Linked DNA regions of Coturnix japonica. The protein of the gene in region 3 purifies or fractionates together with the protein of the main gene of each other region. This does not show direct contact. Links are inferred from orthologs where the notes say so. Each region holds a gene or a part of one and is shown on either strand. Other genes may lie near its edges.

Region 1 (10,533 bases), on a different chromosome or scaffold from region 3:
TCACGTGGCGTTTGCAAAATTTATGAGAGGGATTATATGATGTGATCACCTGTGATAGCTCGACAGCCTGATCTACGTCCATTACACTGCAGTGCTTACACTTCCCAACAAGGTACTTCAAACAGCGTGCAACAGGTACTATTTGCTCCCAGATAAAGGTAGGTCATTGCAAGTCCTGGAACGTCAGCTAATCACAAACAGATTGCTCTTGTGACATAATGGATAGTATAGGAAAAATTAGTGGAAAGATTAGCAAAATATTCCTTTCTGACCACTAAAACAGTGTGAGGACTTCTGAGATGAAACTACACAGGTCCTTCACTACTGAAGCAACAAGTACAGCAATTCAGAAAGGGGGCAAAAAACGTAACTCTGGAAACTTTGCCTGCAAGGCTGCAGCAGTTTTTAAGAGAGGAAGCTGTTTTCTCCCACTCTGAGTTACAGATCAGTTATGGAACCCACCTGCCAGTTTGCACATTTCAACCATCAGGAACATGGTATAATTACCTATTTACAAAGATAAAAAAGTTAATCCAGCTAAGCTTTCACAATTAAAGCGTATTCTATATGTTAAAGAATAACTTTAGCTCTGACAAAGAACTCCGCAACCAAGATCCTACAACAGTCTTTGAAGTCCCCTACTGGGCTGGTCAGGCAAAATTCAGGCACCCTAGTACAAGAAGGAGATTCTTCAGATCCCATTTCTTTACTTAGCAGGCAGGCTGCAGATCTGCTCTATGCACCTGCCGAATGCTGGTCTCTTGGCAGAACTGAGAATCACCATTTAGTTCAACATTATCAGCTGGGTGTGCACACACTGGCATCCCCAGAGAAGCCTCTCACACACATCCCACATCAAGGCTGGACTGCAACAGCAAATCTGGATGTTTCCATGTGGAAAAATCAAGAAAGAGACCGTGGTAGTGATGTCTCTCAGCTTTACACAATAACTAGAGCACTTGCTCATGGAAGCTGAAGAGAAACAATTGCCACATAAGATGATGTGGCAATTCCACACTGAAAACTCAGAACTAGCAAAGGTTACAGAAGCTGTACAAGGAGTCCCAGCACCTCTTCCATGGTACCTACACAACAGACAGCCAAACACAACAGTCACTGCTGCTAAGAAACAGTTTCTCCCCCTCTCTCAGAAGTTCAGAGTCCTGGGTTTAATTCTGACTTGGGATTTTTATTTTAATTGGCAGCTGATGGTGTCAGATGCTCATTAGTCCCAGCTCAGCACACGTTACCCATGCTCTCTCAAAGCTGAAGACAGGTAACTCATCAAGACACTATGAAGCAGTGGCTAGAAACAAAACCTGGATCTGAACAAATACGCAGAGTAGAGGCAATGTACTTAATTGTAACGCCAACCTAAGCCTTCTTTATAGACTCACATGGAAAGGACTGTTTCCTCTTCCTAGAAGGAAAAAATTCTGTGCACTGCTCAGTAAAAGCCTGAAACTTCAGTTGCTTCCATGGAGAAGCATTTCTCAGCTCAGAGACTAAGTATTACCTAATGCTGAAACCAGGTTTCAAAAACAACCCCGCGGCACAGCCAAGATATATTACTTAACAGTGCGTAGTGTGGTTCAACGATCTTAGGCAGCACTGCCTTCCTTCAAGGTCAATTGAGTGATTATGGGATTTACAGTGCACATAAAGCCCTTCGGACACAGCGTGCCAAACAACAACGACGCTGAAGCAGGAACCTTCAGTAGGCATCAAGAAGAATTATTCTCAAAAAGTCCTGACATGTCACTGATTTTTTATTTATTTATTTACTGAGAACAGAGGAGGACGTTCACATGGACGGAAGGAGAACAGGAAGGCTTATCTCCACCCTCTGTCCTTCAAGAAGGCCGAGAAATTCTTTAAGTAGTGTCTAACGTGAACAGTTAACACTTGATTTCTCTAAGGCAGCTAGCAAGAACAGACTGACCTCAGGAATGCTTATTCAGCTCATACAGTAATTTGGATTTTGGCACAATTGTGAGCTCATTCTCTTCCACCTTTAACTATTTGTTAACTATTCCCTACACTTACTAATAGTAGAATCCTTCAACTTCCTTTTGAAGCCTGGGGTGAGACTGCACAATTGGTTGATATTAAGTTTCTTCCATTTTGCACCACTGTGTGCACCCTTGGTATCAACCACACTAAATACCGTATCATCTGACATATTGCAATTTGTGCTCACAAGAAAAAAAACCTATCTTATTACTGCATAAATCCATAGCTACCCATAAGCTAAGAGTATGTTAATTACTTACTATCTCTAAAGGTTTTTCTTTTTATTTCAGCCCTGTTATAGAAATCTGCTGTGAAGAAATTGAAGACCAAACTATCACGTGCAGTTAGAAGACACAGTTAAGACAAAATTGGGAAGATCTAGAAAATATCAATGATTATTAGTTTTTAGAGTAAATCCCTGTTGCTACACTTCTAGCTCTTCCGGTTGGCTTATGACAAACATTGAATTGTAATGCCATTAAGCGTTCACAGACCGATAAAGGTTTGCCTTGAAGACTTACATGCCGTCCTCATGTCCATTTTTAGAATGCATGTATATTCAATAACAAACAGGTATGGAGGACTTGTCTAACCACTTGGTGCCAGGCACACACTAGAACATTAATAACACAGGACTGGGAAAAGCCTTTTGAGTCATCAGTTCCAGCTGCACACTCCTACAGGCAGCAGCACTACAATGTGTCCTCATCAGACTTTATCTTAATTAAGGGCATTAGGTCTTAGAACACTCCAAGGGGAGAAAGCAACCAGAAACTGAACTGCTCTGATATTCACAAGTCCCCTTAACTATAAGCCTTGCCTAAAGCAAATCCTCCCTTTCTTTGATAGTTAAATCCTTCATATTTTAAACTAAACTATCTCCCCTTTTGCGAGGAGGCCTTCCTCCTACAATCAACCCCAAATCCTTCTCCAGGTTCTGCTTAGAATTTGTGTTTTCTGGACAAAAACAGAAACGACAACCTATCTTCAAGAATTTTCCTAACACCTTCTATTAGTGCTTTCCATCAGGGAAACCCCACACATTGCAGATCAATGGACAAGACAGTCCATCCTATCAACAACTAATTCATATCAATCTGTTCTACACATTGAGGGACCTCTTTCCACCACACCTCCAAGTTTAATTATTATTAATTAACTAATTATTATTAGGATAGGTTTTGGTGTTTTTAGTTTGTTTTATAACATATGTGCTTTCTACTCCTACATATGATGGCTCTCTGCATCAACACTATGCCCCCCAACACTGGCAGGTATTGTTGGTATGCTCAGCTCTCTGAACATAAGCTATTATTAAACACATTAGAAAATGGTGCCTGGATATTCTCCCTGTATTCTCTTTTAGCACCAGAAGTTGATAGACTGCATGTATTGCTGACCTATCTTTAAGACTGTTACAAAAACACAGATGTATTAAAGGTTCTCGTGTGGCATTACTTGAAATGCTCTACTGCAAAGCTGACATCATTTCTTGTGATGCTTCCTTTCCCCTCTCAAGATTTCCTAAGAGGAGAAAGAATAATCTACTTTCAAAAAAGGACCACAGAATGCTGATAGGTCAGATCAAATTAACAGGTCTCTGGAGCAGAGATCACATTTCCTTCTCCTTCTGTAAGTAATGCTCAGTAGCCCGCAGCCCTGTGGCTCTATGTGACTGGCTTGCTTTGCCAAAGGATGTAATTCAGCTGGAACACCATCCATGCAATGAGTCAAACAGAAATAAGCTAGTAACATACAGATCAAGGGAAAACACAGTGCACACACAGACACTTCAGTAAAGAAAAGATGCAACGCTGATCAAGTCAGTTTATTGCACACTTTGCTTGTTCTCAGAAAACAAAGCAAGATTTGGACAAGATAACATCTCTTCTGTTTCTTTATGCAATAATTTACCATTTGTGAAACCTTATGAACTATCATTCAGACTAGATGGAAGTTCAGCTTCTGAACTGCTGGTGAATTTCCACCTAAAACCCTTAAGAGCTGAGAACCAGAAGTTACATATTTACAGCACACCCCAGTGATCTCGTTACTCTATAACTGTTATACGTGGCAGAAAGTCTGTGTTTAATTATAAATTAGGAATTAACAGTTGTCTTTATTATCAAAGATCTCAGAATTATTTCCTGAAACGTTGCCAAGATTTATTTTGAGCACTCTAGACGTGTGTCTGATCCAACAAACAGCGATAAAGCACCGGTACAGAACCTGGCGTGCACTTGGCTTTCTAGTACTTCACTATGGTACATTACTAAAATACAAAATCACTCATGTTTTACTCTCACTGGACTTATTTAGTGTGAAAGACTGAATTCCAGTCTGTAAGCTCTCTGTGCACGTATTTTTTCTAACAACAAAAGCTCTGTATGGAAGTTTACCTTCATTGCTTTGGGGACAGGTAGAAAGCAAATGCTGAAACCGTGGTGGTAATTATCTGCTTAGACATAAAATGTTTAAGATGACAACCGATGACCGGCTTGTAAAACCACATCCCTATCAGCACGAGGTCTGCCAAACAACATTGTATTTACTTATGCCAAGCTGACAAGACACACATGAACAAGTGTAGGTAGAATCTATTTTGTACCTTTGTATTTGACCTATCAAACAAAAACTGCCTCTTCATTTCCTACGAGTTCACGGTATCAGTCCCCACACACATCAAAGGCTCTTATCATTCTCCTTCTGAGCACAGTTCTGCTCTGGAGCGACAACTTCACACCCGTCCCTACCTCACCCTGCAAAGTGATAGGAATCCTATTTAGCTGCACTAAGAACAAATGAGCTGGATTTGAAGGATCCAAACACACCGTCTCGATCTGCAGCAGTCAGACCAAAGCATTCTGTTCAGACATCCTCCACAGAATTCTCCTCATCTGCATTCACTAAGGTGGCAGTCAGCCCCATTGAAAGGTGGGGACCGAATGCAGGTTGCAAAAAGAAGAGCTTATTCCACACAAACTGAACAGAGTCTTCTCCATATATCCCGGACAGTAGGTCACGTCTCAGAAACCATTAAAGCATGGCTGTCCTTCCGCAGAGAGATAAAGAGATTTTTCCCACACCTACTCATGGCTTCCAATATCGCCTCCTGTTGATTAAATACATCCAGGGAGAATGAAGATTTAGCACTCTTCAAAGAATTCAAAGGAAGAGTTTTTTTCCTCATTTGTTCCCCCTAAGTTTACAGAATCTGCAGTGTAAATTAATCTAAGCTCTTCTTAACTAAGTTAAATTCAGCGTTACAGTAGCAGAACATCCATTGCTCATTACCCCAAGGATAAGCTCGTCTAGTCTCCTTCCAAAGGGTGTAGCTAATAATCTTGGAAGTTCTTTACTGTGCTGTGCTTTAAGTGCTGCCTCTGTTGGAAACAGACAGCCACAATCTGCTCTGGTTATGCTCTTCAGAGTTCCAAAGCTGTCTGCTTCCATGAGCACAGGCAGCTCTGCACCAGCCAGCTCCTCAAGGGAATTACCGTTTCTAACTGCCAGGGTGGCAGCAGAATTCAAAGCAAAACAGTCTGAAAAAAAAACAAAACCATGAGCAAACCGACGCAGGAGGGGGCTCCCACAACAAGAAAGTTTGAAGGTATTCAAGTTGGTTCAACTGAAAAAAAAGGAAAGCAAAGAACAGAAACGCTTTAACGAAGACTGTTAGAGGCTACCTGGCAACAGACCCAGCGGTAGCACCGTGGGGAGCGGTACAATGATCCCCTGAACCTTAAGTTTTTAATCACGAAGGCAAGAAACGAGGACCTGTCATTCAGCATTCACAAATACCAAGTGAGAGCCGGTGCTGTTTCGCCACCTCACGGACCTGGCAGCACACTAAGCCCTTCCTTTCGGCGCCCGACGAGCACCCCTGATCCCGGTCGGGGCGCTCCGAGGCCCGCAGCCTCCCGGCCTTGGCCGGCTCCCTGCCGGGCACGGCATTGAGCAGCCCCGGGGCGCGGCCCTCCCCTCCAACCGCCGCTGGGCGAGCGGCCCAAGTTTCAGCATGGCTCCCTAGGGCGGTTCCGCGTTTGAATCGAGCCGCCGAGCCGTTCCGCCCGCTCCTCCCGTTCGAAGCTGCCTTTCGGGCGGCTCCGGAGCTTCCGCGGGACCTCGCGGCTCCGTCCGCGCCTCACGGAGCTTCCCTGGGCGCCCTTGGCGGAGCCCCGGCGCGGCTTCATCCAACGGGAGGCACGACCCCACCGGACACGCGGGCAGCCCCCGCGCCTCACTTACCGGTTTCGGCATTTTCAGCGCTGTCAGTGCTTCCCCGGCTCCAGTGAGCAACGCTCATGCAGCAGCTGCCCCGCCTCAGCCGAGCGCCCTGTGAAGGGGAGGAGGAATGAGAGCCGCTCCCTGCCACGGCGACGGCACAACCCGCGAGTGCGGCGCCGGCCGCCCGGCGGCAGTTAAGTAGCAGGTGGGGCCGCGGGTGACTCACCCGCCACCGGCCATTCCCCACCGCTCCCCCCCTCGCTCTGCGAGCACGGGGCGGCCTCGCCCAGCGGCCCGACGCCCAGCCGGCCGCGCTTCCAGACCCCAGGGCGAGGACCGAGGACCCCGGCCCGGGTGGGAGCGCCCTTGGAGCGATGCAACAGGTGCGGCCCACGCCCCGTGCCCGGCCAGAAGCGGGAGACCCTCACCGCAACATGGCGACCGGCACCGGCACCTGCCCCTGCCTCCTCTTCAAGCAAAAGGCAGAATGGTTTTTTGTATTAAAGCACGTTTTCAGCATGAAATAAAAGTCTGAAAATCCACCTAAGTTTAAAAACTATACAGTGAGCAGGCTGCTCCAGCTGGCCGTGCTCTGAGATCAGGATTGTGCAACCAACCAACCGATTCGCAGACACGCAGAGATGGATGACACGCTGTCTGTGCCTATACCCACCCTTCATCCACTGCCCTGCTCCTGCACAGCCCCCAGGTGCTTTGCCTGCAGGAGCTGTGGCCTCCCGCCCGCTGGGGTGTGAGAACAGATCGTATTTACGTTGTCACAGGCAACGGACCATAGGACACAGGTCTTCCGGTGTGCCGGCAATGGCATGTGGGTGAGCTGCGAGGGTAAGGAAACGTGCAGATCCGAGCTGCTGTCTTCAACATCCTCATTTCAAGAAAGGAAGCTTCAAAACAAGGTAACAGCCAGCACGTGTCAAAGATAAGGGTTGTGGAGACCCTGGGGAATGCCAAGGGACAGTAACAAAAACACGGCCCTGAGTTTTCCTCCAGGTCCCGTATCAGATAGTACTAGGCAGTCACTGGTAGTGCCACATTCAATTGAGGTAATTGCCTTTGCTTTAAATTTGAGAGAAGGGAGGGGTGCAGAGACTGGTAGAACTCACAGCTATATTCCCTTCTTGTTGCATGATCCTAGGAAGCAGGAGAGGGCCTTACTGTCAAAACTGAGCCATATGTGAAGCAGCTTGCAACAGCAGGTGAGGAAAAAACAATCAAAGCTAAATGGCTTCTGAGGGAGATGAGATAAAACACTTCTGGGAAACAGCTACAGCCTCTGGTTTCAGGTAGAACAATCCCACTGGGATGAGCTTTAATCAGATTAATTTAACAACATATGGTATGTGAGGAGACTTCTTTTAAGCAATAAGTTTATGGTGGGACTCACACCTTATTCAGTAGGATGGTATTAGATGTGAAGCAGGCCAGAATATGACTGCTGAGCCCAAGAAGCAATGGTAAGGAATATAAGAACTTAGTTGTTGCCACTCTTCGCTCAGAACCCTATGTGGTGGTCTTGGATTATTTTTGAGGGGCATATAGGTGCAAAAGGCATGTAGGTATTTTCATTCCTTACCATTAATACCGTATTTTGGCTTGATTGAAGAACTGAAGAATTTTTATTGCAGTTACTATTGCTTCCTAACTACAAAGAAGCAGAGGCAAAAGGAATCTAGGTGACTAATAATTAAATGTGGCAACATACAATCTCTAGGTTCCTGTTTGCCACAGCACATAACCCTGTGCCATTCTCCCACAATCACCTGCAATATATGGGGAAAGATAGATACCTCAATGGTATCCATAACTACCAGCTTACTCAACACCGCTCCACCCAAACCCAACCAACGAGAACATGTTGAACCCAGACAGGCAGAACTGTCATCTGTGGAAGGAAAAGAACAATTGCCATGTTAGAGCGTTCGCCAGAGACCCTTAACCTCCTTCCTGGGCTTTTGCCTTTTGCAAGGTGTGTTTTCAAACCACCTTGGCTACAGAGCACTGAGAGTTACTAAACTCTTAGTTCAGAAGGGCGGCAAGTTGTCTTTGTTGAAGTGAGGGAACCCTCTTGTGGGTCCCCGAGTTTCTTCCTTTACATTTCACTCCCTACTTTCCTCCCCAAATGGATGGGAATGTATATAATCCTACCCCTTCCTTCCCTTTTATACAAAAGTCTATTCATCCTTTGCAGATACAGTTAAACTCAGACTAGCTTTGGAGACTAGCTTAGTCTCCAAAGAAGGGATGAAAGCTCTCAGTTCTGTGGCTTTCTTGATAGTGTCCTGACAGCATGCTGAGTTTTTGGAGCATGGGCATCACGTGTAATACACTACACTATCTGATAATGCTTACAGGCTGAATTGCCATTTGAGTCAGGAGCAAAGGAACATGAGAGCAGGCATGAAATCAGCTCTCATCAGGCCAGTTTAGGGTAGAAGTAGAAAGATGAAAAAACAGATTGAAATGTAGAAGCTTGGAAAATTTACATTTGAAAAATAAGATAATAAAAGGAAACACAGTTGGTTCTGGATTTAGGTATTGGCTAAGCAAGAGAAAGCTTTTATGGGCACTTTAACTACAGCATTTTGTGCTAGACCTCACAATCGAGCATAAGACCCAAATCAAAATGAAGTCTTTAAGTTACAGGATTAACAGCTGCACTGATCCAACACTTGTTCTTAACCTGCTCTATTAAGAGTATGGCATTACTAACAACTTACAGGAATTACTAAAGCTGGGGAGGTGATGAAAGGACCTAAATTGCTCAGCAGGTCAGTAGCAGGACCCAGTTTCTGTTTTGCTCCCTGTAACAGCTCCCGTGCCTTACTGCCCTCTAACCAAACTGTATTTTAAGACCTTCCATCTGTTTTAAGGAGAAATCAATTTAATCTTGCTGTTCTGCTTGTTTCAACTTGATATAAAGCACTGATGAATTCAAAGAATTGGACAGGATCAGTATAAAGTGGTTTTGCTTAACAGATTTGGCACTAGCCATGTTTTAGTTAAAATACATCTTCCTAAGTGTGATTATCCTGAAATTAGGAAGCGTGGACTCTTATGTCCTAAAAACACCATTCTTGCTTGCACACACAAAATCAATGGTTTCTTGTTTCTGAATATAGGAAGTGTGATCCCAATTTTCCAAGCATGGTTGGAATAGTCTTGCAGCATCTCTGGTGATTTGTTTGCAGTTTTACTCCTGGGATTTTTTTCTAACTAGAAACATAGAGTGACTTACTTTTGACAACTTAAAGTCCAGGCAGTCAACATAGCAGATAAAAGAAAGGATACCACATTCTGAGCCACTTCATATAGGTTTAAAATCAAGAGGATAGTTTTCTTTGTCAATTCTAAGAGCTGTAGGAGGAAAGTAGTCATATGGTATTACTGACAGTAGCTTCTGTTTCGTTGTGCATGACTGTGAATAGGCAGTTCATTCCCAGTTAGAATTCCTGAAACATTGGCATTGTAATTCCTGCACTGTCACGCTCCAGGAAGAGCAGCCAAGGATCTGTCGAGTTCCAGTTCTGCTTGAACTGAGAGCTCCTTCCTTACTCTGCCCACACTGAGCCTAATGAAAACCCGACAAATTCAGGTCACAGAGGACGAGCGTTTTCTTTCACAGCACTGTTGACATTCTCCAGGTTTCTTTTGTTTCTTTCGAAGGGGATACACATGGTGAAAGAGCTCAAAGCTTGTTCCTGATTTTTTTGTTATTCCTTAAATGAGAAGCTTCTGCCAAGTTCAGTTAATGTGTTTTTCCAGTGTGAGTTTGTGCTAAGAAATGGTTAGGCGAATTGAGGCCTGGAAATAAACACTGTTAAATGATCCAGCAGTTACATGCTGGAAGACCCTTATCTTTGCAATCATTTTGTTTTCAAGCTGCACCCACAATTGCTCCTTGAGATTACATGACGCTCCGCTTGACCATCAATGAATTGTACAGAGACGTACTAGATAAAAACAGTTTAAACATGCATGTGATCAAGCAAAAAAAATCTATGGTAATCGTCTGTGTGACTGAAATCCACAGTGAATTATTGATTTTATTAATGAAAACAAATTTAAAAAAAAAAAAAAAGTAATAAGAATTTGCTCAATCTGCTGAATGAGAACCACCACATCACAAAGCATTGTTTAAAAATGCATTAGGTGACAATAGATGTTCACGATGTTCTGGATTTGTAAAGATTATTCTATGCATGTAAATCTAGCCGTGTTTGTTCAAGACTGGAAGCAAATGGAAACTAGGGGCAACACAGCTTTTACGTCTCA
Region 2 (10,517 bases), on a different chromosome or scaffold from region 3:
GTCCCACAGGGCCATCCTAAAGGTCCCCAACGAGCTCTTCTATGACAACGAGCTGAGGGCGTATGAGGGCAGCAATCCTGATGTGCGCAACTTCTACTGCAACTGGGAGGAGCTCCCCAAAAGAGTAGGGGGATACCCAGGGGGGTGGGGTGGGAGGATCTGCAATGCATTGCGGCTGAGCTGATCTTAATTCTTCACCCCAGGGCTTCCCCATCATCTTCCATGGGGTGTGTGGGGAGGATGAACGGGAGGCCAAGAGCCCCTCCTTCTTCAACACGGCCGAGATCCAGGTGGTGGTTGATTACCTGCAGAAGCTGCTGCAGAGCCAGGGCCGGCGCGGCTGCCCCACCATCTCACCCAAGGAGATCGGCATCATCTCTCCCTACAGGAAGCAGGTACAGGATGAGGGAAGTGGGATGGGGGAATCAGGGTGGTTCAGCCTCCCCAGCAGCTGCACTGCAGCACATCCCCTGTCCTCCCCAGGTGGAGAAGATCCGCCTTGCCATCACCTCCAAGGACCCTGTGCTGAAAGCAGTGCCTGACATTGGGCAGCTGAAGGTACCCAGGGCCCCACACATCACTGCGGGGAAGTGATGGAGCCTCATCCCCTCTCACCTCACAATCCCACATCCCAGGTGGGCTCTGTGGAGGAGTTCCAGGGTCAGGAACGTCGCGTCATCCTCATCTCCACCGTGCGCAGCTGCAGTGAGTACCTGCAGCTGGACCAGACCTTCCGCCTGGGCTTCCTCAAGAACCCCAAGGTGTGACCCCCCAGCTCCCCAGCAGAGCTGCTATGGGCACAGGTGCCCCATAGCCAGGAGGTGAACACAAGGGAAACCCCAACTCTGCTCTCTTGCTCAGAGGCTCAACGTGGCACTCACACGGGCAAAGGCGCTGCTGATCGTGGTGGGTAACCCAGCCGTGCTCAGCAAGGACCCACACTGGCACAGGTGAGCCCTGCACCCCCCAAGCTCTCCCACAGCCCCACACCCGCTGCCCACACCCCACTGTGTCCCCAGGTTCCTCAGATATTGCCGGGATGAGGGTGCCTACAAGGGGTACCCCTATGAGGAGGAGCCCCCCAATGAAGACAGCCTTGCCAACCACCTCGACGCCCTGCAGCTCGGCAATTAGCAGCCAGGTAATGCATGGCTCAGCACGGGCAGGAGCTGCTCTCTCTCTGCCGCTCCCCATCCCTGTGCAGGAGCCCAGCACAGCCCCATGGAGCTCCAGCATCTCCAGCCCAGCCCCATCCCACAGCCACCTCCTGCTCTTCCCTTTGGAGCCAGGCTGTGCACCAGGATGGGTCCTATCAGCTCTCCTGCATAGGGCTGTAGTTGAACCCCGGGACCACCAATGTTTTATCTTTTTTAAATCTTCAGCAGTGTTTTTTATACATCTGTAGAAAAATCAATTGTGCTGTGACTTCTGGCCCCAGCCCGCAGGCTGAGCCACGTGCAGCACACCTACCTTTGTGTCCTTGGAATAAATGTTCAGAGAAAAACACTCTGTTATTGAGTCCTGGGCGCTGCGTGGGAGCAGCACAGGGTCTGCAGGGGCAGCCAGAGGGATGCCACACACGCAGTGTTACAATTACTCACATACCAGTTTGTATTTATTTCTCCCAGTTACTCAGCTGGTGCTAAGAGTCTGTGAGGGCCATGGACTCGAAGAAGGCACCATCATTCTAATGCTGGACATGGGGACAAGGCATTGCCCTGGGGCAGTCCCAGGGTGCAGGGCACTGCTGGCACTCCTCACAGCACAGCACTGCAGGACAGGGCTGAGCACAGCCCAGGTGAGTCCATATAAAAGGCCATGGGGCAGATGGGGCCAGCACACTGCAGGGGGAGCAGCCAGCAGCCCCCGCTTCTGCCAACCCTGCTCAAGGCAGGGAGACCACACAGCCCATAGGGAGTGATGGGGAACGAAGGCATCGCCCCCCAGCGTGGCACAGGGGTGCCCCCAATGGCTGGGGACAGCTCTGGGGCAGAGGGTTGGGGACAGGCATGGAGCAGAGCCCTCCCTGCTCACAGCAGCGGGCAGCCCCGGCGCTTCTTGTTCTTGCGGACCTGCAGCCCTGCACGTGTGGCCATCTCAAAGACCTCCCGCACTCCTTCCTTGGTCTTGGCTGAGCACTCGAGGTAGCCGAAGGCATTGATCCGGTTGGCCATGTCTCTCCCCTCCTCTGGTTTCACAGGCTCCTGGGCAGCATTAAAAAGGAGGGTTGGAAATACCACCAGGAGCAAGAAGCCTTCAGGGCATCCTCCATGCCCAGATCAGGGCTGCAGGAGGGAAGCCCCAGCAAAATAGCCCAGGGTGAGGGGATCCCAGCACTGGCACCCCACTGAGCACACACCCAACCTCACCTGCTTCATCTTTGCTAGTTCTCGCCTCGTGTGCTCATCATTGCGTAGGTCCTTCTTGTTTCCTACCAAGATGATAGGCACGTTGGGGCAGAAGTGCTTCACCTCCGGGGTCCACTTCTCAGGGATGTTCTCTGCGAGGAGCAGAGTGCAGCTATGAGCTATGGGGCATTGGGACACACAGCAGTGCTGCTGCTCCATGCAGGGCAGGAGGAGAGCACGACAAGCTGCAGCCCTGCGCTGTGAAGGGGAGCAGGGAAAAATGCCTTTGCTGATCCCCAAAACCACCCCCCAGCTGGGCACAGAGCAGCCTCTCCCAGCACCTCCATTGTGCACCAGTTCCCAGCATCTTCCTGGAGTAAGGAAAAAGCTGGGGGTGGAATGAGAGACTTAACACCCCCAGAGTGGCATATGGACTTCCCAGAACCCACTATGCCAGCAGAATCTCAGCCAACAGGACCCCATGATGCACCCCCTGCTCCCTACCGAGGCTGTCTGGGCTGTCAATAGAAAAGCACATGAGGATGACATCGGTGTCCGGGTATGAAAGAGGCCGCAGCCGGTCATAGTCCTCCTGCCCAGCTGTGTCCCATAGTGCCAGCTCCACCTGTGGGCAGAAAGACATCACTCAGCACCTTACAGACCCCACCAGGCAGCTCATAGGGTACTTAGTCTTCCTCATCTGCAGTGAGGAGGGTCCTTTGCAAACTGGGGTAACCCAAAAACAAGGGTGCTGCAGGGCTCACTCTCAAATGCAGCATCCCATCACCACCTGCACAGGGCAGGGTCCTTACCTGCTTCCCATCCACCTCAATATCGGCAATGTAGTTCTCAAACACGGTTGGCACATAGACCTCAGGGAACTGGTCTTTGCTGAAGACGATCAGCAGGCACGTCTTCCCGCAGGCACCATCGCCCACAATCACCAGCTTCTTCCTGATGGCTGCCATCACTGCAAGGACAAGAATGAGGGTGAATGGGGCTACAGGCTGCAGCTGCACCAGGACTGCTGCCAGGTCCAACAGTTCTTTGGCATCTCCAACTCCTCTGAAACCTCAACACAGAGCCTGAGCCATTTCTTAGGCCCTGTAGATGATCCCATCAATTCAACATCCCCACAGAAACCCCAGACAAGGCACATGATGACAGCTCATGCTTCAGTCCCCATGCAGGCACACTCTGCTCCGTGCAGAGGAGGCTGCAGCCCACTGCAATCCACTGGTGGGGCCCCAGAGCTGCCGGGGGCTGCATCCATCCTAACCTGGGGAGGGGTCAGCATCACCCTGAGCCCTGCCCAAGGCTGCAGTGACTCACAGGGCAGAGGCCCTGTCCCCGCCCAAAATCTCAGCACAATTCATTCCATTACTCACCCAGCAGCCCAGAAATAGCCCATTGCTAACACACAGCCAGCCTCCAAACAGCAGGGAGGAGGTGGGGAGTAGTGCAGCCACGGTGCCCCTCAGGCTGCCCTATCCCTGTGGGCACCCAGAGTGGCACCAAGTAGCTATTCTAAGGTCACCACCAGTAACACAGCAAGGGCTCTGGCACAGCTGCTTCAGGAGGAGCTCAGCTTCAGGCTGAGCTTCGTGCCTCAAAAACTGAAATTCCTGCTGAGCAGGAAATGGGGAATTCCTGGTAGGATGCATCTTTCACCCAGTTTCTGTTCCTGAACCTCAGGAAATGGCACAAAATGACGTCAGTGCTTTGAAGAAGGGATCGGTCCAGGGACAGAAACCTTCCCGCTGGCCTCTCCTCCTGAGACCCCATCCCCAAAGCCCATCACACCAGCCCTGACCCCACAGCACTGCACATCTATGGGGGGCAAACAGATCTCCAAGGAGAGCAGCCGTCTCCATCTGCCTGGTATTGCTGTGTCTGCAGCCTCTGCTGAACCTCAGTGTTTAACAAACAAGCGTCCTGGGCACTCAGACTGTTTGGATTTACTCCTGTTTGGAAGGAGCTGGGCTAATCACAGCACAAACCAGGCTCAAGGCTAGAACATCACCATGCAGTTCGCTGGGTTTCACTCCCTCAGGCGCTCAGGCAGCACAACCTGTGACACAGAGGAGACCTAAGGAATCCTGCAGCACCCAAAGAGCACGAAACCCCAGCAGGGAACACAAACGGCGCTTTCCAACCAGTGCAGCCAAGGACAGCAGTCTCCACTTCTAAACATGGCTTTGTGTGTTCAAAGGGCTGCAGCCGCACCCCAACGCACGCCAGGCAGGGTCATATCGGGACAGGCCCTGGGGGAGGTGCAGCCCAGGGTGGGCACGGAGCATCCCTGGAGTGCTTCAGGGCTGCAGCTGAGCCCAGAGTTAAAGGGAAGGTATTTGGGGACAGTGACAGAGGCACATTGCAATCATCACGACTCCAGCAGAAAGTCCCACGGCACAGGATGAGTTCCTGGCAAGGTTCAGGAATGGGGGGAGCCTCAGAAGCAGAACAAGATTCCAAAAACAGCTGGGAAGGAGCAGTGACACCAAGGCACAGCACAGCAGCAAGGAAGTTCAGGCTTTGGGGTCCCGGTTGCGAAAGCTTGGAGCTGTTCCTAAGGTCTGATCAGACACACTGTGCTACACCAAGCAACAACACAGCAGCGGATCAGGGCTGCTCTGCAGACAAGGGGCAGAGCAGGCAGTTTTCATTGCCAAATCCCACAAAAACATCCACAAGCAAAGCAAAGAAAGGGATTTGGAGCAGAAGAATGTTAAAACCCAAACTGGGCTTGAGCTGGGAGCACTCTGTGGGAAAACACGTGGCATTGCTGCCCAGCAAACCCAGAGCTGCACACCCCGCAGTGCTGGTGCTCACTGGGCAGATACTGTGAAACCAACACATGATACCAACCCTGACCGGCGCTTGGAGTCTTACTGTAACCCATTTAAATGTCTTCTGTTTCAGGATGACATCCAAGGCAGCAAAAACATCACATGTGCACAAAGCCTCTTAGACTGAAACTCACAGCTCTGGCTTCAGGACTGCAGCCACAGCCTCCTACTTTTACACATCACTGGGCTAAAGAAGAGATGCCAACAGTTTATACACGGTCAATGAACCAGCAAGGCTCCTCAAGTGCTGTATTTCAGCTGGATACACTGAGAACTCAGCCTGCTGCAGCACTACTGCTGCCTCAGGAGCCCCACGCTGTCCCCACCTCCTCCATCCACCACGTTCTTATCTTCCATCCCACAGAAGCACCTTCCCCAGCTGTAGCAGCACCAGTATCTGCCAGATGACACTCCCAGGCCAGGCAGGTGGTTGTGTTTGTGCCTCACAGCTGATCCCTATTTGCAAACACATTCCGGACTTCCCATGTTCACACACAGCCCCATCCTGGCACATGCTCTGAGCTGCCAAGCGAGCCAGGTTAAGCACACCCAATATCCACTGGCATCATCCCAATAGCTACCTATGAAACGTTTCCCTGGACAAGCCGAAGCTGTCAGGAGTCAATTTAAAGCACATAAAATCTCACGCAGCTGTAACCGTGCTAGAGAGGACCATAGATTCAAGGCAAGGCGCTGGGAAGGAGGAAATGGGAGCGCAGACGGCCTTATAGTGTCGGGGGGGATCGGGCGGTCGCTGCCCGATTTGGTGCTGGAGCGCCGGGGTTGCTCATGGTTCTGGAATGCTTTTCTGCTCTGAGACATTGCACAATTGTTTCTGCTCCTCCGTCTGCCCCCCTTGTATAAATGTTTACAAATGAGCTCAGCTCTAAGCAAAGCGAACTTTTATCCTTTCACGAAGAAAATACAGCGCTGCTGTATCGGAGGCGGCTCCGTGCGGGACGGCTCCAACCCCTCTTCGCCTCCGGGACCCGGCCCGACCGGGACCGCACGCAGCACCGCCCCATGGCGCACCGCTACGCGCTCAGTCCCATCATAACCCCGCAAGCCCCCAATAGCGATCCCCGCACCCCTTGAGCTCCCCGCAGCGCCCGCATCCCGAGCACAACCCGTACCTCTCTAGGGCACGGCACGGCACGGCACGGCACGGCTCCCTCTCCCGGTCCCGATGCCGGCTCCAACCCCAGCCCCACAGCCCGGCTCCGGCAGCACCGCCCCGTTTTGGGGCCGCCCGCTGAGGGGCGGAGCTGAACCGAACCGAGCCGAGCCGTGGTGTGCCGGGGGCTCCACTCCCAGCCCAGCTCCTGCCCCGCCCTGGCAGCGGGGTTACGTCGGAGCCCAGGCCATGCCCTGTAAGTCGTTTCTATTTTAAGATTTCGGAGACGCGTTCTCCTTAATTTATCCCTCCCCGGGCCAGCAGCTGGCTCCAAAGGAAACGTTTCTTTAGTAAAGAAGGGAACCGCAGAGGAAGCGCTAAATTCAGCCTCTGCCCGCTATGCCCCTCCCCGGCCGGCAGCCGTGGGGGCACCGGGCAGCGCAGCCCCAACCCCGCAGCCCCGGGTGGGAGCAACGCAAGGGAGGAGGGACAGCGGCTCACATGGCACCCAACCTGCCTACACGAATTAATCAGCGCTAATTGGCTTTGAAGTTAGTCGTCTTTGCGGGAGCTCCGCAAGAAAGGCGCTGAGGTGGAACTGCGAGCGGCACGAGCTTTATTGAACCACACAAGGGCAGCTCCTTCAACCCCAGCATCATCCCCCTGCGACACAGAGATGCACAATGATGCACACAGGTACAAATGTCACGGGATAACTTTCACTCCCCACTAAGTGCACCCAGTTTATTTACGTCTCGCTTTGTGCTTTGCAGGGTGCAACACTGCAGAGGTGCAGGAAACTCATCATCCCCCAGGTGAGAGGTATAGCAGATGCAGGATACTGCAGAGAAAACAACTGCAGCTACAGCCCTGCCCAGAACCAGCTCCGAGTCTGGGGAAAAACCAGCCCACCCTATTTCCCAGCCACAACCAAGCTGCTTTTATTGCAGGCTTCCAACCCCCAGCTAAGCAGATTCATGCAGCATTTTAAGCTGTTAAGCTTGGCTGAACGGGGCTGCTCTGTAACTGCTGCTCGGCAGTTGCCAAATTAGAACCGCTCAGAAATAACAGACCTATATTCATACCGACTGCCACCTCACACCAAGAAGGAATTCAGACACTTTCCAGCTCAGCTCTCCAGTTAATAATAAATAATTGGCTCTAGAAATACAGCAGTGATCCAAGGCATGAAGAGAGGTGGTGGGCAGAGCCCATGGCACAGCCAGGGGCTGGCAAACACCATGAGAGTGCAACAGCTCATTTCCTCCCAGGTGCTCTGTGACTGAGCCCTGTCACGTCCACTGAAACCTGAGACCAAGGTAGTGTGCCCAGCTGAGGACAGGGCCCAGGAGCCAAAGAGGGCAAGCACAGGACTGGGGTATCCTTAGGGCTCACAGCACCTGCAGCTGGGATGGACACTATCCCACTGCCAGCAGGACCCCAATCCACACCCACCCCAAGGCAGAAGCTTCAGCATCCATGGTGTAAATGTCACAGGGAAGGAAAAGGAGGTGATTGCAGGAGAAAGCACAGACTTCACCGGGTACAGGCACTCAGAGCCCAGTCATAGGGCTGTAACCAGCACACCTGGACCAGGGCGAGGTGCTGAGCATGCACGGAGAAGCCAGAGAGCACTGAGGCTTTTCACAGCAACCAAGAAAACCAGCCCTTGAGCCCAGTCTCTGCTCTGTCCTTCCATCTCTACACAGGGCAGGGATGCAGTAGGTGAGGGGGGTGCTTTGGGCAGGAGGCTCCAAGATCCTCATTCTTCTTGTGGTCAGCTCAGGAATTGAGTGCTGGAGTGAGCGGTGCCTTGTGCAGTGCCAGCATCCTGCTCATGGCCATCCAGGCAGTGTGACCCCTCTGCCCAGTGCTGACAGATTATCACATGTAGTTGCCAGGGCCACCCAATGGGATCACAAACACAGAGATGTCATCGCCAGAGCCCAGCTTGTCGTTGGGCAGCCGCCAGCCTCGCTCCTTCAGGATGCCCCTGGAGCGCAGCACCAGCTCCTGGGCCACCATGGTGTACCTGGGCAGAGAACAGTGGTCAGCCCCAGCCCAGCAGGCATCGTGCTGCACCCCACTGCTGTCCCCAGGGTGAAGGAGAAGCTGAGGGAGCCAAAGGGGCAGGGAAGTGGGTCTGGGAAAGCTCAGATACATGCATACAGAGGAGCACTGTGTACAGAGGGATATGTGGCCACAACACTGCTCCAAGCAAGATGCTATGGTGCAGGACATACCTGTCTGTCTCCCCCTCACCTGCACGGGTCATTGGGCTCATAGCTTGTCAGCACCTCCATCACCACGCTGGCCACTTCCTTGTCATTGGTGACATCCCAGAGCCCATCAGTACCCAGGACCAGGACATCATCGGGGCAGTGTTCATACTGTGTGAGGTCATACACCCTGACCTGGGAAACATTGGGACAGGACATGAGGGTGATAGTGGGCTCATGGACATCCCAACACCACCAGGTGCATTGAGCACTCTCTGAGATCACCCCAATCAGCTCCAGCCATCACAAGAGCCTTTGGGCTCACCTCTGGAAAGCAGGACAGGAAAGGCTTAATGTGGATGTTGGAGCTGAACACCTTGAGGTCGTGGTCTCCCAGACCCCGCGTCACCCCAATAGTGGCCATCACCCGAGCCTGGAGAAAGGCAAAATCAAAAGCAAGCTTTAAGCTACCTCACCTCTGGGAGAAGAGATGATACACATGGCATTGGCACCCTGACAGCACTGGGAAAAATGGGCTGGGACCCCCATTTCAGCAAGGGCAGACAGGGGATGACCCCTGCACAGTGCCAGGGCCCCCACCTCCCAGGGCAGCAGGGACCCCTCCCCTCACATCCCAGCATTGTACCTTTTTGCCTTCCCCATAGATTAGTGGAAACTTCAGGTCATCCTCTTCGATCTTTTTGTAAGCCCTGTATGAAACAAGCAGAAGCAACCTGTTGGCCAGTGCCCTGGGATGAGACCCCTTTGGTACATGGGGAAGGGGCTGGAGCTGTGGCAGACCCAGACAGCACAGTACCAGCCGTTCATGCTCTGGTCTCTGTACAGCATCTTCTTCCCCAGCTCCTTGGGCTGAATCCTGCGGGGGAACTCAAGGTGCGTGAACTCCTTTCCCAGCAGCTCAGGTCTCAGGAACGCCTGCAGGAAGGGGCAGAGAGCTCAGCTGCAGCAATGGGAGAGCAGGGTCCTGCCCAGCACCACCCTTTGACTTATGGCAGTGTTGGTGCTCAGGCACAGAGAGCCCTGGCCACAGCCCAGCTACTGTGCAGTGGAGCAAGCACAACGCCTGGCCCTCTGCCCATGAGTGCATCACAGCTGGGGAGGATCTTGCTTACAGCAACTTCTTCCCCTCAGTCATTCAAACACAGACATGAGAAAAAGTAGCACGGTGCTCTCTCAGATATGCTGCAAGGCAGGAAATCCCATCCAGCACGACCTCCTCTAACATAAACACCTCCTCAGTGCCCAGCAGCAAGAGGGGCAGCCTCAGGCAGGGCTCAGGAGGTGGGTGAGCAGGAGTCAGGTTAGAAGAAAGGTCTTCCTTACTAAGAACTGTAGCCTCTGCCTCTCTGTCTCTGGAGTAAACTCCCTGGACATTGGAATGATTTCCCCGTTACGGATGATAATGGCCCTGCAATGAGACATGGAAGGATGAGGTTAGAGAAGAGGAGAGGTCCTCTCCCCACTGCCCACCAGCCGAGCCCTGCAGCCCAGCACCCAGGGCAGGGGAGGGAAGACGGGGAAATGGAAGAGAAGCATGGGGCAAATGGAAGGCAAACTATGGTTGGAAGAGAAGCAGCACAAAGGTTATTAAGCCTCCACCTCGTGCAGCGTAGGCAGAAGTTGCCAGCAGCAGGACATGGGTGCAAGTGCCCAGCACTGGGGTTGAGCTCCCTGCAGGAGGGCTGAGGTTTGGATGGCTTAAAAAATGGCTGCTTATGAGATGTTCCTGGAGGTCCCAGGGAGTTGGGGATCTCTTGACACTTCTGGCCCACCTGTCCTACTTGCTGTCCTGCCGAGGGCTAAAGATCCCCTGCAGGGCCCAGGTGAGCCCAGCTCTGGTGGGGTTTGGTGCAATCCCTGGGAAGGCAGGGATCAAGTGCCAGAGGTGGGGAAGGAATTCTGCAGCTCCCTCAGTGCTGCAGACACACACAGACAGCACAGTGTGGAAACTGAGGTGCACCTCAGT
Region 3 (10,410 bases):
GTGGGGGGGATGTTGCCTTCGCTCAGTCCTGCTGTGATTGCAGAGCTTAGCACAGGCTGTGTGAGCTTTTAAGGTCTGTGTAATTCCAGACGTTCAGTAGCTCTATATATACATCTATTGGCGCTGTTTTCATAGTACCTGTTTATGTACTTTTTGTTAAAGTTTTGTTCAGTCTCAAGGTGTTCTTATAGAAGCACCAGTGATATTGAGAAGTCTGGTCTGTGAGGGGGTACCTGCTCGCTCATGTTGTCATTTCCACAATTACCACATGTATCTTATGACAGATAAATGTTCTAGCTGAGTTACCAGCTGCAGCTCAATCCCTTGTTCCAGCTGTGCCCTGGGTGCAGGCTGTTTGCAGTCACTGTGCCTGTGACACAGCAGTCACAGCTGTGGGGCTGCTCTTACTTGTGGGCAACAAGTTGTGCAGAAACATCTGCAGATCCAAGGAGCATCCAATCTGAAGGGTTTTCCTGACTTAGTCACATTGCAAAGAGCTTTGGATGGTTTCTGGTCCTTGCATCTCCTCTAGAAAAAAATAACTAAATCACTTCTATGTTTTCTTCTGTTAATTCATTCCGGTTCAACCTGTCTGCATCAGGAGTATTGGAAGTGAGCTTTTTTAGGTCACCTAGTTATTGAGCGATGCACTTAAAACCACTGTTTTTTCCTCAAGTGAGTTTAGTTTCAGTTGATATACATTTCCTGTTTGCTGTAATCAGGCCCAAACGTGTAAAAGTGAATCTGTAAAGTTATCTCAATGTAAGGAATTAATGTGTTTTGTGTGGCAGTTGAATGTTTCCTTTTCACAGTTGGCTTGAACTGCAGGAGCAGACAAACATCTGTGTATATTATATGTAGCAGCAAAGCTGACTTAATGGGTTTGTACCTCTTTGTTACTGCCCATCCCGTAATTTTCCACTAAGCTGCACTGATTGTTTTCTTTGTTTCTGTGCTGATTGTGTCATTAATATGGTTCTGCTCAGCTCAGTGCTGAGGAATGAGGGGCTTGGTGGGAGCCTCGTTCACGTTGCTCTTGTAGGAGTATGTGTGGTGCTGTGGCTCCAGCTTCTCTGCAGGACAGGGATGTGATGGAGCACCTCTCCTCCCATGTGGTGCTGTCTTCCAGAAAGCTTGTTGGGTGCTGTATGTTCATGTTTAGTAAATGGACACAGTAGAGAAACTCACTGACAGGCTTGCATAAAGTGCAGCTGGCTTAAGAAGTGAAAATATTTATATGCTCCTTTCAAATGCTTGGATAGGAATTATAGAGATGGCTGGAATAGTGTTTGGGCTCTGCTGCAGGTGATATGGAAGGCAGCCTGTGGTGTCTGCTTTGGACACCTGACAATTCTGTGTGCTTCAAACATTTGAAGAGTGGGGTGTAGGTATAAACTTGCAAAGTAGTGAGATGTCCCCAGATGTACATCTTAGATGTAGCCTCTGTGAAACAAAATGGGTGGCTCCACTGTTGCAGCCTTCCATCGCTCGTGATGGTAAACGATGCTCTTCAGTAGAAGATTTCCTGCTTTCAGTTTATACAGACTGGCAATGTCCCTGGGAAGAGGAGCAGGTCAGCATACCTTGGGGCCACTTTGTTGGCTGTATACAAGCACCCTTCAAGTGGTGGATATGAAATCCTGTTTGTTTCTGCCACCTGTGGCTGCTTTCTGGAAGTCTTTAGTGGCCTGTGTTCCTTCTTTCACTGGTGCTATTTGCGTGGTGTCATGGAATGTACATGATATTGCTGAAAGCAGGAGCTGCCTGCACCTTCTCTGGGCTGCTCGGTGTTTGCAGAGCTGACTGAAGCATATTCACTTCTCCCTCTGTTTCTCAGGAACTCTTTGCGGAATTTGGGACCTTGAAGAAGGCAGCAGTGCACTACGACAGATCCGGACGCAGTCTAGGAACAGCAGATGTGCATTTTGAAAGGAAAGCAGATGCTCTGAAAGCTATGAAGCAGTACAATGGAGTCCCCTTGGATGGTGAGTCTCTGTGGCTGTCGTGTGCTTCTCTGCACGGCTGATGGCATCTGTGTGCCTGCCACACTCACAGGGTAACTGGCTGCTTTTCCTGCAGGGCGCCCCATGAACATTCAGCTGGTTACATCACAGATAGATACACAGAGGAGACCAGCACAGAGGTGAGAAGCCGCGGGAGTCGCTGTGCCAGTCAGCACGGGGAGTGAACTGGCCTGTGTAGGAAGCATGGAATCCTCCTCGTGTCCTGCAACCTTCTGAGTGCCTGTTGGGGTTAACCAGAATGCACTATAACAGTTGCTTTTTAAAAATCACAGTGTAAACAGAGGTGGAATGACCAGAAACCGTGGTGGTACAGGAGGATTTGGTGGTGGAGGTACCAGGCGAGGTAGTCGTGGTGGGAGCAGAGGGAGAGGCAGAGGGGCTGGAAGAACTTCCAAACAGCAGCTCTCTGCAGAAGAACTAGATGCACAGCTGGATGCTTACAATGCCAGGGTAAGTGCTGCTCACATGATGGTCACGGGTACCTACAGCGTCCTTTTGATAAACACTGGCAGCTGGCTGGAAAGAGAAATTGTTTTTCAGGTCATTTGACTTAAATAGCCTCCCTCTAAAGCTGAGCATTGCCCTGTTCCTTCAGCTGCCTTAGCTCTCCACATCTACTGTTACTCATGAGTAATAAATAGCCCCTTTTCCAACTTCTCCTGGCTTGTTGAAGCCTGTGTCAACCAGAATTGGCAGTAATCAAGATGTGTGATGAACGAAAGCTATGAACCAAAGCCCAAAGGGATAATAGGCTGGAAAAATGAAAAGCAAAAAGAAAAAACACATAAAATAACCAGCTTGGTGCTAAGAAAGGAAAAAAAGTCAATGATGCTGATCACCCCTAATGCAGGTGGATGAGCAGAGCAGTGCACATGGTTTCTTTCATTCAGAATGAGCTCAGATATTGTGCCACAACAAGACTAAAGTCTTAACTGAGAATCAGTTAAGAAGTGATGCAGGGACTTGGCCCAAGCACTGAGGTGCAGTTTAGGTCTGCTCAGTGTGTGCTGTGGATTGGGCTGCATCTCCGCCATTGAGGCAGCAGCATCCTGGGGTTGGCAGGCAGGGCTGGGGGGTGTCAGGGTTGGGGATGGAGCTGGGGGGTTGTGGGGCCATGGTGGGTTGTGGGGTCATGGTGGGTTATGGGGCCGTGGTGGGTTATGGGGCCATGGTGGGTTATGGGGTCATGGTGGCTGCTGACGCTCCTCTCTGTTCTCTTCCAGATGGACACCAGCTAAAGCGTTGAGCGGCGCATGGAAGGACTGCAGACATCTCATTCCATGCTGTGTGGCGGGAGGGGTGTGCGACTGTGGCTACTAATATCAAGGATGGGATTTGTTTTACTTTTATGTTTTGGAATAGGTTTTAAACTCATGTAAAGGTTTTTTTTAATTCTGAAGCCAGACCCGTTTTGTACCGAGTTATTTTTGGGATAAATTTTACTGGTTGCCTGTTGGGCCGAGGTGGCTTTTTCACCTTTGCCGTAATAAAATAGAACCGTGTCTAGAGCTCCGCCTGCTCCCTGCCGCGCGCTCCTTTCCCGCGCCCGCGCTGCGCGGCGAACGCGCGCGTACTCCCTGAGCCAATCAGAACGCAGCGTCGAGGCAGGAAGTGAGGAGCGGGACACGCCCTCGTATAACGGGAAGTGACGGGCGTGTCCCGGAAGTGCGGGGGTGCGCGGGCGGCTGGGCGGATCCCGGCGGCGTTGGACCGCGGCGCGGACGGTGAGAGCGGCCGGGACGGCGGGACCGGGCGGGGCGGGGCCAAGGGAGCGGGGCGGGGGGCGCCGGGATCCGCCATGTGCGCTGCGGCCGGGCCGGGTCCCGCGGGCTCAGCGCCACGCCAGGGTCCGGGGCGCGGCCGAGGGGGCAGCGGGCGCCGTCCGGGTGCGCGGCGGGGAGCGGAGCGAAGAGCGGCGCCTTCGTGCCTTGAGGCCGCCCCGGCCGCCGCTGTCGGACCGGAGCCGGGTGGGGACCCGCTGGCTTCAAATAGATTCTCCATAAATGGTTTCGAGCTTTGAAAGGAGGAACTTGAAGGCGACTTCCCCACGGTTGGGTTCGTTTGGCGTTAGAGCCGAGACGTCGGTGCAGCACCGGGTGCAGGATGGAGGATGGAGCGGCAGTGAGCGCTGTCCGGGCTGCGGGGCCTCATGGCCGTGCCGGAAGGATGGTGCCGTTTCCCTGCCTGGGCGGGCGCGTTGCGTGAAGCCGTGACTTCCTTCTCTTAAAGAGCTCTCGGTTGTAGCACTCAATTATCGCTGTGAGAGCTTCAGGTCCCGGCCGTAGTGCTCTATATAGTGCTCTATGGGCTCGGTTCTCTTGCAGTGGTCCCGTTCTTGTCCCAGAGATGCTGAGTGGCGGCCGCTTCCACGTGGTGCCCAGGAGACATTTGCAGCTCCTGCAGTGTGGTCGTGCTGTAGCTCTGCAGTCGTTGTACTTACAGGTGCATAGTGCTCACCGTGCAGCTTGTTTGAGTACGAGGCTGCAAGGGCTTCTTAAATCCGATAAGCAGTGGGAGCTGTCTGCTCGTTCTCGGGTGATGCTCGTGGCAGGTGATACCTGCAGGTGTTGTGCAGTGCAGGGCAGTGTCACCAGCACGGTGCACAACTGCGGATCTGGCTGCAGAGCACCTGGCAGCAGCTGCTGTGCGACCCACAGCTCCTCCCCACGCCTGGAGCTGTGACAGGGATCAGCCTTAGGGCAAGGCGGGAGATCTCCATGCTCATAAAGCAGCTCAGCAATGCTGTGGGAGCACCCAGCGCTGTGCTCCTGAGGCTAAACCTGCCTGCAGGCAGCACTGGGGGGGGGTCACTGCTCTGCTGCTGCCACGCAATTAGACCTGGCTCTGGGCAAGCTCACGTCTGGCCCCTCGAGCTGCCATCATACGGGGTGTCTGTGCTGCTTGAACTGGTTTTAGCAGCTCTTGCTTCCTGTTTCTGCAGCACAGCAGCTTATGCAGCCCTGAGATGAACCAGGGTGGTTGAACCGACCTGTGTGGGAAGTAACCTTGCAGAAAGCCACATTGGATTCCAAGTGGCTTTGCTGTGCAGCTTCATCAGCTTTCCCTTGTGCTGCAGCGAAAAAAGGAAGGGTGTGGACTGCTTGAATTGGCGCTGTGTGTGTCCGTGGCTGAGCTGAGGCCTGACGGATGTCCGAAGCCAATTAGGTCATCTGTAAAGACTCTGACCACTCTTATGTCACTGCACAAGTACCTTGGGATCGTGGCCCTGGCATGTAAAGAAATCACTGCTCATCCCTGCCTGATAACGGTGTTCTTTTCCTAGCAGTGTTTCTATCTGGCAGAAGGTGGGGCTCGTGTGTTCACTGCTGTTCGCTCCTTGGTATCGAACTAAAAATACTGAGAGAACTCAGGAGAAACTGCTGACTTCAGGAAGCGGCGCAGGCAGCTGAGTGCAGATCTGCAGATGGGAAATAATTTGGTTTCTGCTGCTTTCTGCAGGCCCCAGTAACCAGCAGAGCTTCCATTTCCAGACATTCTGGGACATCCCTGAGGCCGCAGTGCTCTCCTGTGGTTGAGTGCAGGGTGGCACAGAGGCAGCAGCTGCACTGTTCTGTGAGCCAGGTGTGTCTGCAGTCAGAGCCATGGGCTCGGGCGGTGCCGCACAGGGTGTGCAGGTGCCTTCCGGGTTTCAAAGTTGCTGAGGGGGAATTCCTTGCAGAGGCCTTGGGGTGGTGCCTGGGTGTGAGGCTCAGGGCTGAAGGTGCCATTGCTGCTGGAGGTTGGTGTTCTGGGAGGTTTCAGTCACGAGGCTGAGCCCTCTGAAGGGGTTGTGGCCTCAGGTCCCCGTTCCTCTGCCCCCACCTCTGCAGCAGCATGTGCTGGAGCCATGATCCTACAGGACGTTGGGCATGGCATGAGATGGATGCCCGACCCAGTGTTCCAGTGTGTTGAGTCCCTCAGCTCTGCTCTGCCTAGCAGTACGACAGCTCCTCCTGCATGCACCCGACCAGCTCTGTTCTACTCATTCTAGGCTGTAGGAAATGCATTGTTATAGAAGCACGGAGCAGCCTGATGCTGCTGGGAGCCTCCTTTCTCCCTGGCAGAATACTCAGGGCAGCAGCTGAGCACTGTGATGTGAGGCTGCACAATGCTGTGTGCTGGGAGCAGGGTCAGCCGGGCGCAGTGGGAGCACGATGCCATCAGAACACTGCAGCAGAGGGGCTGTGGTGCAGCCAGCTCCATGAGGCTCCTCCAGGCCTCGCTGCACATTTTTCCTGTGCTTCCTTGCAGAGCTGAGACCCAGCCTGTCTTGAGCTGCTGTTTGGAACATTGCTTGCTGTTTCTGGTAACTTTGGGTCAGTTTGAAGAGCCACTTTTCACCCATGGACTTCCATGGGGTGCTCGTGGGGGAGGGAGGGGAGGGGTGAAGTCTGGCTTGGAGCTGAAACTGAGGGCAAAATGAGATTAAGCACTGGAACAAATGCTTGAGTGAGTGTTTGTTGAACACTTTTGGGAGCCTTCAAGCCTGGAAGCTTTCTTGGATGGGAGCCTAAAGGAAATGACTGGTTTCGATATGGATTTTCTAGGGTGAGAGCTACTCGGTTGCTCATGTATGGCATAAGATTTGAATGTAAATTTCCATGGCAATCAGTGCCAGGGACCTGGAGAATCCCTTTCTGCTGGTAGAGCTCAGTCAGGTTTTGATGCCCGCTGCAAGTACCCTTTGTGCACCCATGTTGGTGCCCCAGCCTCCCTGGGAGGTGCTGCCAGCCCAGGGCAGCTCAGATTTGCTCTTGTGTTTGGCTGGGGGTTCACCCACACGGGATCTGACAGCACCTCATCTCAGTGCCAGCATTGAGCTACAGCCCTGGTGCTGTGCTGGAGGCCGCTCTCATACCCTGGATCAGCCATAGTCATCAGGCAGAGATGTGCAACATATCACTCTAATTTGTCTCCTTGGCAGAACATTCCTAATATTTATGGCTAAAAACACCATCTACACATACCTCTGCTGTTGTGCTCTTGCAGCTGTCGCCAGGCTCAAGATGGAGGCAGACACAACTTGTCTTGTGTCACTGCACAATGTGCTCTGTGAGCTGTGTGTGCTCAGTGCCAGCGCTCAGGTTTTTCTCTCCCTGTCTGGGTGACACATTGGGTAGGAATGAAGTCGTTGAGTTAAGGGCTGTTATGTCAGCTAGTTCCAAGAGGAGAAGAGCAAATAGCAGTTGGCTTACGTAGCATAGCCTGTGCTGCAGACTTTGGGTTTTCCTTTACAAGTCAGCATTTCTGGATGTATCCTGGTCTTCTGTGGGGGCACGTGGAGATCAGAATTAAGATCATAGTGTTGATTTATTTGGAAACTGGATGGCAGAGCAAAGAATGCAGTTTTCCAGTCTGAGTCATGTGTGCTGATACACGACTCCAGACAGGAATGCAGAATGGGACGTGGAAATGCCAGGTAATAACGGGAATACCTGCATCCATCTGCACGTCATTTGTGGAGGATTTTGTCTGAGAAGCCTTTCAAAAGTTGTCAGCTGAGTGTTTTTAAGCCCTCAGAGCAGTCCAAGCTGATGTTTGCTGTAGGATCACCCGTAGGGCAGCACTCCTTGTGATGCATCAGGAATTACTGACACTTTTTCCTGGTGTTTTGATGGCTGTTGGACCAGCTCTCAGCTGGGTGTTTCCTGGTTACACTGTGCTCTGGGGCTTACAAAGCAGTGCCAATCTACACACCGGTCTTCAACCCATGTGTTTGCCCAGCTCTGTGACACATATCTTTGGAAAGGATCAGGATGAGGTCAGCTGAGCCAGGTGTCTCCTTCCATTGTAGATTCTGATTGAATTACAAACTGTGAGCTCCAGATTGCAGCTGAGGCTTCTGGCATTTGGGCCAGCGGTGGGGCTGGGCCTGTTCTTCTCCTCACCAGGTTGTACTATGGAGAAGCAGAACTGAACTGGGTTTATTCTGGGCTCAAGCTGATTGCAAGTGAAAGCATCACTGAGCTGTTCATGTGGAGGAGTTGTTTTTTTCTATGGCGTGGGCTATTTCTCTGTTGCAGCTGCTGAACAAAGCACAGAGGCTGATTACTTTTCCCAATCCTCTTGTAAGGGCTGAAAATGGGATCTTGGCTGCCGAGGGCAGGCTGGGGGGGGCACAGGTCCTTGACAGCAATGTGCCTCTGGAGTGGGGAACCTGGTGGGAGAGGGACCTGTGGAGTCAGGGCTGTTTTGGGATGGCTGGTTTATGCCAATATGCAGCAGATAGCTACAGTTAAACGTCTCCTCCCTGCTTCAGTGTAACTCGCGTGTGTGAAGATGGCAGAGCAGGAGCCAACAGCAGAGCAGCTGGCCCAAATCGCAGCTGAGAATGAGGAGGACGAACACTCCGTCAACTATAAGCCACCTGCCCAGAAGAGCATCCAGGAGATCCAGGAGTTGGACAAGGATGATGAGAGTCTGCGCAAGTACAAGGAGGCACTGCTCGGTGCTGTCACCGTGACTGCAGGTGAGCTCCACCTCTGGCTCCCCGGCCTCAGCTCTGCTCCTGTCTGGGAGCTGTTCTCTCCCCAGCTCTTTGTGACTTGGTGTGAGTATAGCCAGGAGCACAAGGGGCAGTGTCTGCCACTATTCAGTGGCCCCTGGAATAAAGCAGTGGGACTGAGGGGTTGTTTTCTGACCTCTGAGGGAGATGTTCTGGGAGAGTGTGTGGGCTGGGTGTAAATCACACAGGTTGGAGCCCTCACTGGTTTTCTCACTCTTTCAAGAACTTCCGTGGAAGGGGAAACGAGTTGCTTGGTACAAGGGCTAGTTGTTTAACAGCCTTTTATTTTTGTCTTCTAGATCCCAATGCTCCAAATGTGGTGGTGACCAAACTGACGTTGGTCTGTACTACTGCTCCTGGCCCTCTGGAGCTGGACCTGACAGGTAGGCTGGGAAACAAAAGCAGCCCTTCTCTGAGTCAACGCTGGTTAATGTGGGGTCTTCAGGGAGGTGTTGCCAAGGCACTGATGCTGTGGTGGGCAGCTCACCTGCATGTCCAAAATGCCTCTTTGCTGGATGCAGAGCCAGGTGCCGTGGTCAAGAGGATTTCCCACCTCAGCTTGCATCTCAGCAGCCCTATCTCAGCAAAGGCCTTTCAGCTTTCTCTATATTGCATGCCTTAGTTTTATAAATGTCTGAGCTGCCAGCTGGGGGAGCCAGCCGTCCTCCAGCCTGCACAGCCGCACTAATAGCAGCTTCAAGATGGTGACAGCTTTGGAGCAGACATTTACAAAGGAACATCCTTGAGTTAAGTGCACTGTTATGCTGCAGTTCCCTTTCTTGGGGGAGCACTTGGCCACCTCAAGTAGCACAAGCAGCATATCAAGGAGAGTCCTGAATTGCAAGAATAAAAGGATAAAATGCATGCTGTACAACCAGTAAGGGTCCAGTCCCCTGCTGCAGATACTTTCCATTTCACCTTTTATAGCTGAAATCCTTTCCAAAGCACGATGCAAATGGACTCAGAGCAATTGTTTACTTTCTGTGTAGGTGACCTGGAGAGCTACAAGAAGCAAGCTTTTGTGCTGAAAGAAGGTGTGGAATACCGGATAAAAATCTCCTTTAGGGTAAGGATTCAGATCTGCAAACTGAACAACTGGTGAAATTTAGAGCACCCGATCACTGCAACTCCATCATAGGGCCCCCAAATAGGTGTGATGGAGGAAATATTTCCCTGCAGTGGGTGGGGTGGGCAGCATGTGGAGATCCGTCTTTGACAGTCTTTGCTTGTCTCTGCAGGTTAACAGGGAGATTGTGTCAGGGTTGAAGTATATTCAGCACACATTCCGGAAAGGAGTGAAAAGTAAGTGCTTCTCTGTGTTTTAGGTACTGCTTTTTGTGAGGGCTTCCTGCTCTTTCTGTTGCTGTGATGGATGCTTTTGTGTGGGTACCCCAGCAACTCAAAGTGGAAAGAGATGTTCTTTAGCAAACTCTCCACTGTGGCAAGGTGTGGAGGTTTCTGGCTGTGCTGCAGGGAGCCACCTGTTGTGCTGGCTCTGCTGTGCCTGAGCTTGGTGTGCACTCACTGCTGGAGACTGGAGTTGAACAGATTGTTGCTGTGTGGACAGCAGTACGAGTGCTGGGTTTTGCTCCTTCTGGAAGGAGCTGTTTCTGGAATGAGTGGAGCTGTTAATGTGGGTGATGTTCTTACAGCTGCTTTTGCTGTTTGTGAATTGTAGTGATCGTAGACCTTTCATTTGCTTTAGCCTCGCCCCAAATACATTGGAAGCTTTTAAATAGCTTCCTTCTTCCTCTTTTTTTCGTAGTTGACAAGACTGAATACATGGTTGGGAGCTATGGGCCCCGAGCAGAGGAATACGAGTTTCTGACCCCCATGGAAGAAGCTCCTAAGGGCATGCTGGCCCGGGGCAGCTACAACATC

What was found.
Region 1: the proteins of ARHGDIA (region 3) and EZR purify together in Homo sapiens (co-purification; 3 studies listed by BioGRID and IntAct, with this or other methods). This does not show direct contact. The link is inferred for Coturnix japonica from reciprocal best matches to the Homo sapiens genes ARHGDIA and EZR.
Region 2: the proteins of ARHGDIA (region 3) and RHOC purify together in Homo sapiens (affinity purification with mass spectrometry; 4 studies listed by BioGRID and IntAct, with this or other methods). This does not show direct contact. The link is inferred for Coturnix japonica from reciprocal best matches to the Homo sapiens genes ARHGDIA and RHOC.

The regions. Positions count from the first base shown.
Region 1 is NC_029518.1:47,135,022-47,145,554, forward strand, and holds the start of EZR (ezrin), read right to left. Parts: upstream 6,395-10,533; 5' UTR 6,274-6,394; coding exon 6,262-6,273; intron 6,256-6,261; exon of another isoform or gene 5,308-6,255; intron 5,126-5,307; exon of another isoform or gene 3,827-5,125; intron 1-3,826. UniProt on the Homo sapiens protein: Probably involved in connections of major cytoskeletal structures to the plasma membrane. In epithelial cells, required for the formation of microvilli and membrane ruffles on the apical pole. Along with PLEKHG6, required for normal macropinocytosis.
Region 2 is NC_029541.1:3,627,342-3,637,858, forward strand, and holds RHOC (rho-related GTP-binding protein RhoC), read right to left. Parts: upstream 6,457-10,517; 5' UTR 6,331-6,456; intron 3,756-6,330; exon of another isoform or gene 3,737-3,755; intron 3,647-3,736; exon of another isoform or gene 3,628-3,646; intron 3,319-3,627; 5' UTR 3,317-3,318; coding exon 3,161-3,316; intron 2,974-3,160; coding exon 2,853-2,973; intron 2,501-2,852; coding exon 2,370-2,500; intron 2,205-2,369; coding exon 2,031-2,204; 3' UTR 1,588-2,030; downstream 1-1,587. Other genes in the region: MOV10 (helicase MOV-10), read left to right, coding at 1-124, 204-395, 484-558, 636-761, 862-950, 1,020-1,134; PPM1J (protein phosphatase 1J), read right to left, coding at 8,196-8,343, 8,574-8,725, 8,856-8,963, 9,177-9,240, 9,348-9,466, 9,875-9,959. UniProt on the Homo sapiens protein: Regulates a signal transduction pathway linking plasma membrane receptors to the assembly of focal adhesions and actin stress fibers.
Region 3 is NC_029533.1:4,447,695-4,458,104, forward strand, and holds the start of ARHGDIA (rho GDP-dissociation inhibitor 1), read left to right. Parts: upstream 1-3,630; 5' UTR 3,631-3,748; intron 3,749-8,283; 5' UTR 8,284-8,303; coding exon 8,304-8,493; intron 8,494-8,828; coding exon 8,829-8,912; intron 8,913-9,518; coding exon 9,519-9,595; intron 9,596-9,767; coding exon 9,768-9,831; intron 9,832-10,294; coding exon 10,295-10,410. Other genes in the region: ALYREF (THO complex subunit 4), read left to right, coding at 1,838-1,985, 2,080-2,143, 2,297-2,474, 3,248-3,262. UniProt on the Homo sapiens protein: Controls Rho proteins homeostasis. Regulates the GDP/GTP exchange reaction of the Rho proteins by inhibiting the dissociation of GDP from them, and the subsequent binding of GTP to them.